2 linked regions of the Coturnix japonica genome follow. The main gene of each other region encodes a partner of the protein of the gene in region 2 in a complex. Links are inferred from orthologs where the notes say so. Each region holds a gene or a part of one and is shown on either strand. Other genes may lie near its edges. The genes, in order: APBB1IP and TLN1.

The links.
Region 1: the proteins of TLN1 (region 2) and APBB1IP are in contact, whole or in part, in a crystal structure (PDB 4W8P), measured with the Mus musculus proteins. The link is inferred for Coturnix japonica from reciprocal best matches to the Homo sapiens genes TLN1 and APBB1IP. Residues at the interface, in NP_035732.2 of Mus musculus: Leu1492, Ala1495, Thr1496, Val1498, Ala1499, Thr1502, Ser1503, Cys1506, Asn1507, Arg1510, Val1526, Ala1529, Lys1530, Ala1533, Asn1534, Thr1536, Ala1537, Val1540, Ile1543, Lys1544, Asp1547; in NP_062329.2 of Mus musculus: Asn5, Ile8, Asp9, Met11, Phe12, Thr14, Leu15, Glu18, Met19, Leu21, Leu22, Ser25.

What each region holds. Positions count from the first base shown.
Region 1 is NC_029517.1:14,640,567-14,644,374, forward strand, and holds part of APBB1IP (amyloid beta A4 precursor protein-binding family B member 1-interacting protein), read right to left. Parts: intron 3,171-3,808; coding exon 3,083-3,170; intron 1,697-3,082; coding exon 1,407-1,696; intron 1-1,406. UniProt on the Homo sapiens protein: Appears to function in the signal transduction from Ras activation to actin cytoskeletal remodeling. Suppresses insulin-induced promoter activities through AP1 and SRE. Mediates Rap1-induced adhesion.
Region 2 is NC_029547.1:8,425,818-8,430,381, reverse strand, and holds the start of TLN1 (talin-1), read right to left. Parts: upstream 2,949-4,564; 5' UTR 2,822-2,948; intron 1-2,821. Other genes in the region: CREB3 (cyclic AMP-responsive element-binding protein 3), read left to right, coding at 4,362-4,496. UniProt on the Homo sapiens protein: High molecular weight cytoskeletal protein concentrated at regions of cell-matrix and cell-cell contacts. Involved in connections of major cytoskeletal structures to the plasma membrane.

The sequences.
Region 1 (3,808 bases), on a different chromosome or scaffold from region 2:
TAATACAAGACAGAAGGAACGGAACTGCAAAGCACAGTTATTTCAGTGAGCTTTAGATCACGTTATCTGGTACTTCCTTAAAGGTCTAAACCAAGATGGGGACGTATTTGTAATACAATGGACAGAGCTTGTCTTGACAGCACCTCTTCTGTATCAATAATACTAGTTAAATGATAGATTTCAGCTTCTGAACCAAGTCTAGTTGTTGTTCTTTTAAATACTGATTCTCTTTTAAGATAAGTTAACTATTATCTTTGAGACATAGAGAAATGGTGAAGATCTTCCCACATTTACAATTTTCATTCTTCACACCAAGTACTAAAAAGTCTTATACATAAAATGAAACTTTATCCAGTGAAATACCTCAGCAATGTCCTCTTCTTAACAAATTTTCTGTTTCTTTTGCTTTTTTTTTTTTTTTTTCCTGTGTTAGGCTAAAAGCAGAGGCACCAGTGATAATGAGGTAATTCATACTCAGTTTGTGTAGGCATTTAAGCTGCAATGAATTGCTCACAGTTTTAGGTAAAACTGACTGGTATAGTTCTACACCATCTGACAGAGTACCTTTCACTTTCCCTAAAACCTTTCCATTCCCTAAGTGTAAAGAGCTCCTCTCCACCCTGGTTTATCTGCACATGAATACTCAAAGAGACACTTTAAAATTCTTCAGGATTTCAGACTCATATTTTTGGGACTGCATCACTCTTCTAACACACACAGTCTCCCCACAGAACTAAAAGGGTAAATTCTTATCTCCTTATCCACAATTTCATGTCAACTTCAAATACTTCTACTACATATGCCATGTTTGACTTCAGTTGTTAGAACAGATTTGCATGAAAAACAAACATGGAGGAAGTTGTGATAACTGAAATTTTAGCATATTGGTAAGTCAATTTTCTAAAAGTAGCACCCACTGATAATTTCAGCAACTGCTAAGGGAAACATCCAGAGAACCTTCTCATCAGTAGCAGTAGTGTTTACTGCAGTAAACAAAGTGATAGCTTCACAAAAAGATGGGATATTTGGCCACCCGTTGCACAGATGTCTAAGTGAAGCTCTCCATTACTAACTCAACAACACTTATTTAGGAAAAAAAATATATCAGTAAAAATCTTTCATTATAGTAAACCATTTTCAGTGATCAAGTTCTGTCTTGGACTATCAGAATGGCAATTAGAAATGCAAAAGGAATGGGCAACATGTCCAGGAATTGGCAGAAACTGCCACACTCACAATAAAAGAAAAATCTTACTCTACAATTTGAAGCTGTTTTGTTAGTGTAGAGTCTGCTTAAGATACTTATACATGGACTTCTACTGGATACCCACATTTGTTCCAATGCAAATCCAATCCTAAATTTACAAGTTACTGAACTCTTGGAACAAGATTCCTCTCCGACTTACCTGGCTGAGTGGCTCGGGAGGAGGTGGTGGTGGTGGTGGCGGAAGGTCTAAATCAGGGGCTGGAGGTGGAGGGGGCAAGTCATTCTTAAACTGTTCTGTAATTGTAGTACAGGGACTTAATTTACTATAAAAGTCATTATCCATGTCTGTTGAAGGCTGAGTGACCACACTTTTCTGGTTGCCAGAAGTTTTCTGGGCTTGTAAAGTTCTCTGTTCAACCTCATTTATGTCTGCTACAAGGTCAGCCATTAAGGCATCAAGGTCCTTGTCCTCTAGGGCATTTAGAGATTCTGTAAAGAAAACAAAAAATACATCAAGAGTGAACGCAATGAAAAAATCTGCTACCAGTTCAGTGAAGATTAAATTACAGGAGACATGGTTACTGTAAGATACAAGGGTTATGGGAAAGGCTTTTAAATGGGTTCAAGAAAACAAACATGCTTTAGGAATGGCTATTAATCTAGTCATACTGAAGTTTTGAATAGAAGGAACTCCGTGAATACAAATTGAACAGGACAGGAAGTTTCATTTTCATTGCTATGGTCTCAGATCTGTATGTTTTATGAAATCTAGCCCTGATTCAACAAGGTTGATGGGCACATGCTTAGTGATATGGATGCAAGAAATTCAAATTGTTTGAACCAGACATGTTGAAAGAGATACTTTGGAATAACATCCTGTAGGATAATTTAGTTTTCTAGAAGAGAAGGGTTCTATGAGAATCACTGCATTCAGTGGTTTAAATCACTTTGAAGAGTCTAGTTCAAGAAAAGAATGACCAATTGTAAATGTTTTAAGTGGAATTTTGGAAAGAGATGGAGAGCCCTGAACTACACAATATGTATGATAATACAGTCCAACAAAGAATAGATCATTCATCAAACAAAGTGAATTTGTTATTGGACCACTTCCGTTTCCTCTGCTTTACCTGTTACACTGACAGTGCATTTTCATAAGTGTTTCTTTTCAGTGGAAAAGCTGCCTTACAATCCTCTATTTATATACCTCTAACCTCTTTGCTGGTAGAGACATTTTACCATTATGTAGCTTAGTAGTAAATTCATTCTGGCACAATAACACTAGTTAAAATCAGCTCATATGCAAACATGCAAACAACCAGCCCCCCAGAAAAATGCAAAAAAGAAAAAAAAAATCACAAGAAAGAGCACATTCTTTTTTAAGCTCAGATCAACTCCCTGACTCATGTCAGGGAAGCAAGCAGCTGTACATGCAGAAGTGACAGTACAAGCCAAAATGAGAATAAGTAATGTAAAATGGAAGAAACTAAAGCCAGTATTTCCACTGGAAATAAATACTTCCACAGCTTTGACTTCACACTGAGGTAACACAGTTTTCTATTAACTTAAATCTTTTCACAAAGAGGTTGCCTATTTGGAAATATTTTAGTGACCTTCTTTTTTTGATTTCCCTCTACACTCTGACATTCTAAAAAGTCCGATTCTTATGTCAGACCAAGCAATGTCCCTTTAAAAACACTTGGTCCCTTTGGAGTTTCCTAAACTGAGACACACAAACATATCACCACTCCATCAAAATAGTTCTATTTTTAAACTTTATTTTAGATCAGAAGTGTTTGAAGCTTTTTTTCATATTCATTGCTGTGAGGTATTTAAAATAAGTAGAAAAACCATGAATGAGTCAATTCAACTCCTTACCGTTTAAATCCTTAAAACCTACAGTGAAGCTGAATTCCTTGTTGGTCACTTTGGGGGATGGAGTTTGTACAGTCTCCACTCCTAAACTCTGTTAAGGTAAAAGAAAAAGGAAGATATTTTAGTGATATAACTAGTATTACAGACATTAGCATTTGTCAATTAGTTACTGGAAAGTGCTTAAGTCAATTCTTTTTGTTCTAATCCCCTGCCATAGGCAGGGACAACTTCCTCTAGACCAGATTTCCCAAGGCCCCATCCAGCCTGGCCTCAACCATCTCTAGGAATGGGGCATCCGCAACTCCTCTAGGTAGCCTGTTCCAGCGCTTCAGTAACTTCATAGTAAAGAATTTCTTCCTAATTTACATCTTCCATTTTAAAGCCATTACCCCTTGTCCAAACACTACATTCCCTGATAAAGAGTACCAATTTAGGTACTGGAAGGCCACTACAAGGTCTCTCTGAAGCCTTCTTTAAATCAAACAACCCCAACTCTCTCAGCCTCCAACAGGGACACTGAAAAGCCAGACTCATTTTGAAAGGCTTTTTGAGTTTTCCGGGAAGTGAGTTGGAGGTGTGTGAAATAATTTAGCTGCGTATGTACAAAGATTTGAGATATGAAGTGCCACTTGCTCCAGTATTATATTTACTAATATAAAACGTAATCTTGTTCCTGTTTTTTCCCGGTGTTTGAAAACAAATAACACCATCTAACCAACAACAAAACAT
Region 2 (4,564 bases):
AAGAAGAAAACCTCACGTGGTGCAGGGTCTGACCCCACTATCGGGATCCTGCAGGGAGCCCTGTGGGGACCCCAGGAAGCGCACACTGTGCTGCTCGAGGAGACAGGGGCTGGGGTATCACCGAGCTTGCTGCAGTCTGCTCCAGGGGGCTCTGGAGCTTCCTCCCCACAAGATCCCGGCGGCCACAGGGCTCTGCTCGGGAGGAGCGCGGTGCCGCCTCCACCAGCGCGTGGAGCCGCTCCAGCTGCGCATTCCTGAGCCGTTCGGCAATGCAGCGCAGGAGCCCCGTCGGAGGCCCTCGGCCCCCGCCGACGAGGAATGCAACGCGAGCGGGACGGCCCCGCACGCAGCCGCCCCGCAGCTTCACGGCCAGGAGCCGTAAGAGGCCGTCGGGGATCCGAGGGGACCGACGGGCGGGGCGGCTGCGGCCGGCGGGACTGGGATCGTTCTCTTTCCTAAATCTAAAAATACCCCGGAACGGAGCGCTGAGCCCTTTCCATCCCTCCCCCCGCTTCTGCCTGCAGGGCAGGGTCAGGGAGCGGGGAGGAAGAGGAGAGCAGAGGCAAGCAAAGTGATTGAAACTGTCCCAAAGCAGGACAGCACTGCAAAGAAAACGGGATGCCGCACCCGGCCAGCAGAGCGGCTCGGCCTCACTCGTGAATTGCTGCAAAATCGGCCCAGAGCTGCAGGATGTGCTGGAGGGGAAACTGCAGAGCGACACGGGCAGCTCCAGCTCTGCGGGGCCGGCAGCAGCCACACGTGGCCACCATCCTGCACCCCAAATGGTGCTGTGCCCCCAAATAGCGCTGTGCAAGGCACTTAAGACACGTAAAAACCAGAGGCTCGTTGCTCTTTCCACGTTCTAAGGAAGTGCTTTGAGCACTACCCTCCACCAGTGTGTAAAGCAGAAGTAGTCTATTTAGAGCAGCCCTGTAACAACGTGGCGGTGGGGAAGGTCTGGCTGACTGCTGCCTCACACGGGATGGGATGCACGGGGAAGAGCTGGGTAGATTTCCACACTGGGGGTATGCATGGGGACAGAACACGGGTCCACCGCAGGGGTTGGGTGCATTTGGGCATCAGAGGGCAGCGAGAGCCCTTCTGTGGGCTCTGCGGAGGCACCAGCACGGCAGGAAGCAGATGTGGGGCTCTGTGCTGATGACAGCACCGGCACAAGGGCCACACCGTCATGGTGCCCTGAGGGCACAGACCAGACAAAGTACAAGAAGAGGACTCCCAGCCCCAGGCTGCTCCACTAGGAGGTGAAAAAAAACAACGAAAAGCCAAACGATGTGATGAATGCACACCAATTTTCAGCACTGGCCGCCCTCCAGGGAGAGCAAACAAGTCAGCAGCGCTCGCTGGTAGGCGAGGCAGATAAGCCAGCACAGCAGCAGCGGCTGCGGGCACTTCTGCATTTCTCTTCCCTTCCCCACGACGCCTCCGCCGCCATCCCCGAGGCACAGAGCGATTTTCCACCCCATGACGTCGCCGCTGTATTTATACCTCCCGGCTTCACAGCAGCGCTGCTGCAAGCACGGGTACAGAGAAAGTTTTATGTTAGCAAAAAAAAAAAAAAAAAAAAGAGAAAAGAAAGAAAACAAAGCAGAGCCCGACCAGGTTCTACCGCATGGGCTGTGCCTGCAAGGCAGCCCCACTGCACGCCCGTGGCACACATCCAGCGGCCGCAGAGCTTTCCCGAAGGAACCGAATTCACTGCCCTGAGCTCGGGGAAAGGGTCGGCAGTGTGACCGCACCAAAGGAAGTTCCCACAGCCCTTCCGCTCCTGCGGGGAGCACCCCGCACCTCGGCACAGCACAGCACTTTAAGGACTGTAACTGCTTTGTTCTGCGCTTTCTTGTGTGTGTGTGTGTTGCTGGTTGTTTTTTTTTGGGTTTTTTTTGCTTTTCCTTTTAATCATTTCAGAGAGCTCAGCGCGGTTCGGTCTCACGCTCCGACGCCTTTCCCCTCCTCCACCGAATGGCAGAAGTTAATGTTTTAACCCAGAGGCAACAGCGCCGGTCCCGCAGCACCGCGGATCCCGGGCGGGCAGCTCGGTGACTCAGCCCCACGCAGCTCGGCTGATTCACGCCGCTTCCTCCTCTCCGGCGGCCGCGGCCGGTTCGTGCCCGCCGGGGATGGGCGCCGTGCGGCATCGGGCTGACAGCGGGGACGGCGACTTGGTGCCCGGTGAACGGCTCCGGGACGGCTCCCTGCAGCACGGAGCCGCACCGCACCTTCCCCACCCGCATCCTAAAGCGACGGCGGGAACGGGGGATGCTCCGACCGTCCCACGCCCCGACCCGCCTTGCAATACAGCCCCGCAGCGCAGCGGCACCCACGCCCGCCGGCCCGCGCGGGGTGTCCCCGTCCCGCAGCATCGCTTCCAAATATGGGTCTGGAAGAGATGCAGCCCCGGGGCCGGGCGGGGGCGCGGAGCTCCGGGGCCGGGCGGGGGGTTCAGCCGCAGGGTCGGACCGCCTCGCTCCCCACGCGGGGCCGCGGTCGCGCCGTGGGTGCGGGAAACAGGATGCGGCCGCGCTCCTCCCGCACGGAGCGCCCAGGGGCGGCGGCCAAGCCGGGGTGGGGCGCGCCCGGTCCCGCTGCGCTCCGCCGCACGCGGGGTCTTATCACGCAGCGCTCCCCCCGCGCACCCCAACGTTCCCCGCGTTGGCAGCAGCCCCCACCCCGCGCCTCGTGCCGCCGCGATGCCGCCGCTCCGACCGCTCTCCCCTCCCCCCCGCTCCCCGCCCAGCCGCAGCCCCGCGGTGTCGGTGCGTGGCCGCCCGTCCCGGTGCCGGTGCCGGTGCCGGTTCCGTACCTGAGCGCGGCCGAGCAGCGCGCTGGGGCCCGCCGAGGCTGAGCGGCACAGCGCCGGCACCGCCCCAGCACCGCCCGCCGCAACACGCAGCGCATGCGTCGGGGGGAGCGGAGCGGAGCGGCGCGGAACGGCACGGCCCACGGGCTGCGCTATAATGGGCCGTACTGGGCCGTAAAGGGCTGTAATGGGCCGTACTAGGTTGTAATGGGCTGTACTGGGCTGTAATGGGCCGTACTGGGCTGTAATGGGCCGTACTGGGCTGTACTGGGCCGTAATGGGCTGTACCGGGCTGTAATGGGCCGTACTGGGCTGTAATGGGCCGTACTGGGCTCTAGCTGGGCTGTACTGGGCTGTAGTGGTCTGTAATGGGCTGTAGTGGGCTGTAATGGGCTGTAGTGGGCTGTAATGGGCTGTGCTGGGCTGTAGTGGGCTGTAATGGGCTGTACTGGGCTGTAATGGGCTGTACTGGGCTGTGCTGTGCTGTACTGGGCTGTAATGGGCTGTACTGGGCCGTACTGTGCTGTAATGGGCTGTACTGGGCTGTAATGGGCCATACTGGGCTGTAGTGGGCTGTAATGGGCTGTGCTGGGCTGTGCTGGGCTGTACTGGTCTGTAATGGGCTGTACTGGGCCGTGCTGGGCTGTACTGGGCCGTGCTGGGCTGTACTGGGCTGTGCTGGGCTATACTGGGCTGTACTGGGCCGTACTGGGCTGTAATGGGCTGTACTGGGCCGTAATGGGCTGTACTGGGCTGTAATGGGCCGTACTGGGCTCTAGCTGGGCTGTAATGGGCTGTAATGGGCCATACTGGGCTCTAGCTGGGCTGTAGTGGGCTGTAGTGGGCCGTACTGGGCTGTACTGGGCTGTACTGGGCCGTAATGGGCTGTAATGGGCCGTACTGAGCTGTAATGGGCTTTACTGGGCCGTGCTGGGCTGTACTGGTCTGTACTGGGCCGTACTGGGCTATACTGGGCTGTACTGGGCTGTACTGGGCCATACTGGGCCGCATTGGCCGTACTGGGCCGTACTGGGCTGTAATGGGCCGTACTGGGCTGTACTGGGCCGTATTGGCCGTATTGGGCTGTATTGGGCTGTATTGGGCTGTATTGGGCTGTATTGGGCTGTATTGGCCGTACCGGGCCGTGCCTTGCTCGCTCCCCGCTCCCCCCTCCCTCTCCCCGTTACGCCGCGTGGGGGCGGGACGTGTCGCGGGTGCTGCCGGTCTGCGGTCACGTCATCGCATCGCAGGGCGCGGCGCTGCGGTCGGGCCGTGTGCTGAGCGGGGCGGCACCGCGGCCTGTTCCTGCTCCGGCCTGTCCTTCCTTCCTGCTCCGGCCTGTTCCCTCCGCTGTCCCGGTGCTCCTGCTCCGTCCCGGTGCTGCTCGGAGCGGCCCCCGCCCGCTCGTTGTGTCTCCTCGCCCCGCTCGGGCCCACAGGCCCGGCCCGCCCCCCTCCTCCCGCCGCCGCCCAGGCCTGGCCTCCCCGTTCCCCCTTTGGCTCCGCGGCTCCTTCGTGCTGTGTCTGGGCGCTTCCCGGTTCCGATGGCAGCCCCCGAACCTCCGGCCTCGCTGCCGGATGGGGATCTGCTCGATTTCCTGCTGAACGATGAGGCGCCGGCGGAGAGCCCCGCGGGGGACGGCTCGCTGCTGGGGGACTGGATGATGTCGGAGCTGGAGGTGGGTCGTGGAGCAGCCGCTGCCGGGTGCCGGCAGGAGGGTTGGCTCCTGCTAAGCTGGAAGTTTTT